Macaca fascicularis: one gene and its partner. The protein of the gene in region 1 purifies or fractionates together with the protein of each later gene. This does not show direct contact. Links are inferred from orthologs where the notes say so. Each region holds a gene or a part of one and is shown in the gene's direction. Other genes may lie near its edges.

Evidence for each region.
Region 2: the proteins of TAF6 (region 1) and TAF9B fractionate together in Homo sapiens (co-fractionation; 3 studies listed by BioGRID, with this or other methods). This does not show direct contact. The link is inferred for Macaca fascicularis from reciprocal best matches to the Homo sapiens genes TAF6 and TAF9B.

Annotation. Positions count from the first base shown.
Region 1 is NC_088377.1:48,763,749-48,767,568, reverse strand, and holds part of TAF6 (transcription initiation factor TFIID subunit 6), read left to right. Parts: intron 1-20; coding exon 21-77; intron 78-502; coding exon 503-622; intron 623-1,123; coding exon 1,124-1,269; intron 1,270-1,377; coding exon 1,378-1,455; intron 1,456-1,547; coding exon 1,548-1,649; intron 1,650-2,051; coding exon 2,052-2,234; intron 2,235-3,096; coding exon 3,097-3,171; intron 3,172-3,297; coding exon 3,298-3,423; intron 3,424-3,820. UniProt on the Homo sapiens protein: The TFIID basal transcription factor complex plays a major role in the initiation of RNA polymerase II (Pol II)-dependent transcription.
Region 2 is NC_088395.1:84,643,674-84,647,087, reverse strand, and holds part of TAF9B (transcription initiation factor TFIID subunit 9B), read left to right. Parts: intron 1-2,074; coding exon 2,075-2,185; intron 2,186-3,414. UniProt on the Homo sapiens protein: Essential for cell viability. TAF9 and TAF9B are involved in transcriptional activation as well as repression of distinct but overlapping sets of genes. May have a role in gene regulation associated with apoptosis.

The DNA of each region.
Region 1 (3,820 bases):
GACACCTGCCTTCCTTGCAGCTCATTGGCTGAGCATCGAGGGCTGCCAGCCAGCTATCCCCGAGAACCCACCCCCAGGTAACCTCCATGCCCCACCCTCTGGGTCTCTGGGTCCCTTTCCCCCTCCTTCCACCTTTTTTTTTTGATGGAGTCTCACTCTGTTGCCTGTGCTGGAGTGCGGGAGTGCTGGACTGCAGTGGCACAATCTCGGCTCACTGCAACCTCTGCCTCCTGGGTTCACGCGATTGTTGTGCTTCAGCCTCCTGAGTAGCTAGAGCTACAGGCACACACCACCACGCCCAGCTAATTTTTTGTAATTTTAGTAGAGATGAGGTTTCACCATGTTGGCCAGGCTGGTCTCGAACTTCTGACCTGAGGTGATCCACCCGCCCTGGCCTCCCAAAGTGCTGGGATTACAGGCGTGAGCCACCGCATCCAGCCTCCTCCCTTTACTTTTCCTGCTACTCTCGTCACGCCTCCCACTGTGCCTGCTTTCCCACCAGCTCCCAAAGAGCAACAGAAGGCCGAAGCCACAGAACCCCTGAAGTCAGCCAAGCCAGGCCAAGAGGAAGACGGACCCCTGAAGGGCAAAGGTCAAGGGGCCACCGCAGCTGACGGCAAAGGTCAGTCCTCCTAGGCCAGGCCTCTCTGTACTCTTGCCCAAAGCCACGTGGCCATTTGTTTTGTATCCTTTTTTTGTTTTTGAGACAGAGTTTCACTCTGTCACCCAGGCCAGAGTGTAGTGGCACAATCTCAGCTCACTGCAGCCTCAGCCTCCTGAGTAGCTGGGATTACAGGTGCCCACCACCACGCCCAGCTAATTTTTGTAGTTTTTTTTAGTAGAGATAGGGTTTTGCTATGTAGGCCAGGTTGGTCTCAAACTCACCCTCATGTGATCCGCCTGCCTTGGCCTCCCAAAGTGCTGGGATTACAGGTGTGAGCCACCATGCCAAGCCTCCATGTGGCCATTGGTGAAGTGGGCCAGAGAGCCCCAGAAAGGATGGGGAAGCCTAAGAAGAAGCTGGGTCTCCTGAGTCTCAGGGGAAGTGGAGGGTTAAGGTTCTTCTGTTACTGAGGTTTCTTCTGGAGCTTTCTTTGTCAGACCCACCTCTCCAATCACACAGGGAAAGAGAAGAAGGCACCGCCCTTGCTGGAGGGGGCCCCCTTGCGACTGAAGCCCCGGAGCATCCATGAGTTGTCTGTGGAGCAACAGCTCTACTACAAGGAGATCACCGAGGCCTGTGTGGGCTCCTGCGAGGCCAAGAGGGCGGTGAGGGCCCCACCAGCCTGCCCTGGCCCTGAGACTCCTCCTCCTGGGGGTCCTATGAATTGCTCCCCACATCCTACCCCCACCTGACTGGCTTCCCTCCTCCCACAGGAAGCCCTGCAAAGCATTGCCACGGACCCCGGGCTGTATCAGATGCTGCCACGGTTCAGTACCTTCATCTCGGAGGGGGTGAGAGCATGAGGTTCCACTGTGCAGGGACGGCAGCGGAAGCTCCTGTGAGGGTCTCCCTGCCCCATGCCCAGCACTCCTCCCTCCCGCAGGTCCGTGTGAATGTGGTTCAGAACAACCTGGCCCTACTCATCTACCTGATGCGTATGGTGAAGGCGCTGATGGACAACCCCACGCTCTATCTAGAAAAATACGTGAGTGGTCCTGCCCACCTTCCCTTCCAGGGACCAGGGACCCTGCTGCCACCAACAGGAAGTCAGTGGTCAGCGGTGGCTCACACTTGAAATCCCAGCAACTTTGGGAGGCCGAGATGGGAGGATCGCTTGAGCTCAGCAGTTTGAGGACAACCTGAGGATAGTAGTAGGACTACTGTCTCTACAAAAAAAGATAACAAAAACAAAATTAGCCAGGCATGGTGGTGCATACCTGTGGTCCCAGCTACCTGGGAAGCTGAGATGGGAGGATTGCTTGAGCCTGGATGATTGAGGCTGCAGCGAGCCATGATTGTGCCCCTGCACACCAGCCTGGGTGACAGAGTGAGACTTTGTTTCAAACAAACAAAACCAGAATCAGCTGCCCCGCCCTTTCTCCCTTAGGTCCATGAGCTGATTCCGGCTGTGATGACCTGCATCGTGAGCAGACAGCTGTGCCTGCGACCAGATGTGGACAATCACTGGGCACTCCGAGACTTTGCTGCCCGCCTGGTGGCCCAGATCTGCAAGCATTTTAGCACAACCACTAACAACATCCAGTCCCGAATCACCAAGACCTTCACCAAGGTGAGCCAGGGAAACTTGAGCACCATTGGTTTCATCACTGGCCACCTCTGGTTGGGGGAAGTGACACTGGAAACAAGGGCAGAGGGAAGAGGGACTGGAACTTGTGGGGCTCTAAGGGCCTTGAGGCTTGTCTGTAATGCCTTTTTTTTTTTTTTTGAGATGGAGTCTCACTCTTGCCCAGGCTGGAGTGCAGTGGTGCGATCTCTGCTCACTGCACCCTCTGCCTCCTGGGTTCAAGCAATTCTCCTGCCTCAGCCTCCTGAGTACTTGGGATTACAGGTGCCTGCAGCCATAATTGGCTAATTTATTTATTTATTTATTTTTTGAGACGGAGTTTTGCTCTTGTTGTCCAGGCTGGAGTGCAATGATGCGATCTCGGCCCACTGCAACCTCCGCCTCCTGGGTTCCAACGATTCTCTTGCCTCAGCCTCCTGAGTAGCTGGGATTACAGGCATGTGCCACCACACCCAGCTAATTTTGTATTTTTAGTAGAGACGGGGTTTCTCCATGTTGGTCAGGCTGGTCTAGAACTCCCGACCTCAGGTGATCTGCCTGCCTCAGCCTCCCAAAGTGCCAGGATTACAGGTGTGAGCCACTGTGCCTGGCCACAACTGGCTAATTTTTGTGTTTTTAGTAGAGACAGGGTTTCACCATGTTAACTAGGCTGGTCTTGAACTCCTGACCTCAGGTGATCTGCCTGCCTCAGCTTCCCAAAGTGCTGGGATTACAGGCGTGAGCCACCGCGCCTGGCCTCACTGTCATGTCTTAATGATTTACAAGGAAAGTGTCTATGAAAGACGTGGGTCCCTATCAATCATCCTTTCAGACCCCTTCATCTTAGTTTATTTCCTTCCCCTTACAGAGCTGGGTGGACGAGAAGACGCCCTGGACGACTCGTTATGGCTCCATCGCAGGCTTGGCTGAGCTGGGACACGATGTTAGGCCTCTGGGAGGAAGAAATGGGGGAGGGGACGCAGTCATGAGGTTATAGAGGGCACTGTGCCCCCACCTGGGAGACCCTGGTGACCCTCCGGCTTTGGTTTCTTCCTTTCCCTTCCAACAGGTTATCAAGACTCTGATTCTGCCCCGGCTACAGCAGGAAGGGGAGCGGATCCGCAGTGTGCTGGACGGCCCTGTGTTGAGCAACATTGACCGGATTGGAGCAGACCATGTGCAGAGCCTTCTGCTGGTAACCGAAGCCCCTGTCCCTGCACCTGCGCCCCCGACCCCCCGAGAGACAGCCGGCGTTTAGCAAGCATATGGCGTATTTTATTCACCTACTCCCATCTTTGCCTCCTGTTTTCAGAACATACTGCAAAGTCTGATACTATTTTACAGATGGAAAGACTGAGACTCAAGCTGAGTAAAAAATAAGGGGGCTGGCTGGGCGTGGTGGCTCACGCCTGTAATCCCAGCACTCTGGGAGCCTAGGAGGCCAGCTTGGGCAATGTAGCGAGACCCCGCCTACGAAAAACAAAAAGCTGGGAGTGGTGACATGTGCCTGTGGTCCCAGCTGCTAGGGAGGCCAAGGTGGGAAGACTGCTTGAACCCAGGAGTTCAAGGCTGCAGTGAGCTATCATTGTGCC
Region 2 (3,414 bases), on another chromosome or scaffold:
CATTGCCCCCACTGTTGGTGGTATAAACTCTGATACCAAAAACAGGAGTTTACTCTTAGCTGTGTACTTTGTGCCTTCTATAAGGTGCCACACACACTTATGGCAGTAGACTGCTTATTAGAAATTTAAATTTCCAAATAGATAAGAGAATACAGTAGAAGATTAAGATGTACAAAAATCTTAAGGATCTCAAAGAAAAAAACTGTTTTTAATACTAACCACCACGCCAGGCCTAAAGATGCAAGTTTTAAACTTTAAAAAAAATTAAAATGAGTTGGCCAGGTGCGGTGGCTCATGCCTGTAAACCCAGCACTTTGGGAGGCCGAGGCGGGCCTATCACTTGAGGTCAGGAGTTCAAGACCAGCCTGGCCAACATGGTGAAACCCCGTCTCTACTAAAAATACAAAAATTAGCCGGGCATGGTGAGGGGTGCCTGTAATCCCAGCTACTCGGGAGGCTGAGGAACGAGAATCACTTGAACCCAAGAGGCAGAGGTTACAGTGAGCAGAGGTCATGCCACTGCACTCCAGCTTGGGCGACAGAGTAAGACTCTGTCTCAAAAAAAAAAAAAAAAATTAAAATGATTTATATAGACCTTAAGACCTGAGTATTTACTCTGTTCAATTTGGGGAGGCTCCATCTACAGTCTAATGTGTTCAGTTTTAAAGCCTGAACTCCATACCTGCTTAAATGTATTAACAATCCTAAGGCCAAGAAAACATTCACCTACTGTGAATTTTCTTTTTTCTTTATAAAATAAAATACTTACATTGCTTCATTACGCTTCACCAAATTCTTTGGACTGATCCTTAATACATGGGAAAACTTACTTAGGGATGGAGATATTTTAGAGGAAGGTCTCACCTTCTGTGTTTGGGAGAGAAAGCAGTAAAACCCAGATTTCTCGGTACCTTTGAGCTTTCTTCCCTTAGACTTTCTGCACCTTTTTCTCTAGAAATGATAATTGTAGTGTCCTCAGCAACTCTATCTCTGGGTAGGCTGCTGGTTCCAGGGGGAAGGGATGTATTGGATAGCCTGCATCCCCAAATGAAAAATTGGAAATGGATACATTTCCATAAATGTATTTTTTGAGAGAGCAATGATGTCAGTATATAAAGTCTTCGAGTCTTGCAAAATACATTTATTAAGCAAACATTTGTTGAGTAGCTATTAGGAGCAAGGTAAAAGAGCCGTGTGCTCACAAGGATGAAAAATGTTAACCAAGCTTGTAATCTAGTCAGTGAGATAAGATAGTAATAATGACTCCTATGACATTAAGGGAACTTCAGAGGCAGAATATAAGACATTTAACTGAGAAAATTAAGGAAAGTTTTATAAAACGGGGTAGTATTTGAGTTGTACCTTGGAATAATGGGTAGAATTTAGATGATTGGGGGTTTAGACTAGGTTATCTCCAAGATATTTTTCTGCTTAAGTATCCGAACACAGAAAGGGAATAAATTTTCTGGGCCCACCTGGAGACCTCAAGGGGTATATTTGATCTCTGCTTTAGTTTCATGGGCATAGATGACATCTTCTGATTCTCAGCAAGCGACCAAGATGAAAAGTGCCAACTAAGGTAATAAATAGAAAACCTGGGTCTTTATTCTGGTAGGTTAAACTCTCATCTTTATGTCTTCATCCAGCTAAACCTCAGTGCTTACTATGTAACAGATGCTGTTTGAAGAGTTTTACAGGGATTAGTTTTACTTAATTTTCACAAGAATTATATGAAATAGGTGATATTATCCCCCATTTTACAGAGGAGAAAACTGAGGCACAAAAATTTAAATAACTTGCCCAGGGACACTCAGCTAGTAGGTGAGAGCCTGAATTCAAACTCAAGCAGGTAGGCTACAGAGCCAACATTCTTTACCACTATTCTAAACTGAATTTTGTAACATCTAAGCAAGCTTGTAAATTTTTTAAGGTTCTTTTGCTCTTATTTTTAATGACTTTTTCCTTACCTTTTATTAGTTTCCTTTGCTTTGAAGATAGTTTGCGGTAAGCTGAGTGTAGAATATAAATGTGTATAAATCACCTAACAAACATGGTCTGTTTATTGTAACTACAGCAACCCCACAAACAGTGTCTGTCCCAAATAAAGTTGCAACTCCAATGTCAGTGACAAGCCAAAGATTTACGGTGCAGATTCCACCTTCTCAGTCCACACCTGTGAAACCAGGTAATGTGATCGGGGGTAGGGAACAGAATTTGTGAATAATTTGAAATTGTAGAACCATTTGTGTTCCTATAGCAAGAGGTAAATTGTTTTAATATCCCAACAGGAAGGTGGCAGTAATGCTGCAAATCAGGGTTCTTCAGAGGGACTTATGAGCCCTCTAAAATTCTGTGAAATTTTACAGAGTCTCCCCCCTTATCTTGAGGGATTATGTTCCAAGACCCCCCGTTAAATTTACAACCTTTAAAGTTCAATTTATAAACTTTCTAAATTATGAGGTTTAATTTATAAATTAGGCACAGCAAGAAATTAACAATAATAAAAAAACAATTACAACAACATACTGTAATCAAATATATGTGAATGTGATCTCTCTCGAAGTATCTTACTGTACTGTACTCATCTATTTTTGGATCACAGTTGAACACAAGTAGCTGAAACTGCGGATAACAGGGGACTACTATATGTGTAATGTTTTGGGGAGGAGGAAAAGAGTAGTCAGTGTGTTCATCAGATTTTCAAAGAACACCATGAACTAAACAGGATCCACAAATCTAAGGCATCTTCAAGGAAAAGCAGTTAAGGTGAAAGCTCAAGAAAGCGACAAAACTTAGTGATGAATATGTGTATGCAATCCAGAACATAAATGTAAATTCAAATGAAACTGTACCTTTAGTTCATAGGATACACACACACACACAGACACAGACACACACGGCTGGAATAAGTAGAATTCTGTCAGCACAGTTTACTAATAAGTATGTTTAGATTTCACATCTTCTGAAACTTAACTGCACACAATAAATAACTTACGTAAAATACTGACCTATTAGGGAAGTGATTCCTGGCCTTGAACATAGGCCTTTATGTAGTATGTTGCATGATGAGTCCAGTGCAGTTTCCCATGACTAAATTGAAATTCTAGGTTGTTAAAATACAACAGAACTTCTTCAACCTTGTACTAGGTATGTTTGATTTAATCTTTATCTATACATAGATCAGAATATCACATTATATGCCATAAATATACACAATTATTGGCAGGGTGCGATGGCTCACACCTGTAATCCCAGCACTTTGGGAGACTGAGGCAGGAGGATCACTTCAGGCCAGGAGTTTGAGACCAGCCTGGCCAACATGGTGAAACCCTGTCTCTACTGAAAATACAAAAATTAGCCAGGTATGATGGCACATGCCTAAAATCCCAGCTACTTGGGAACCCGGGGCATGAG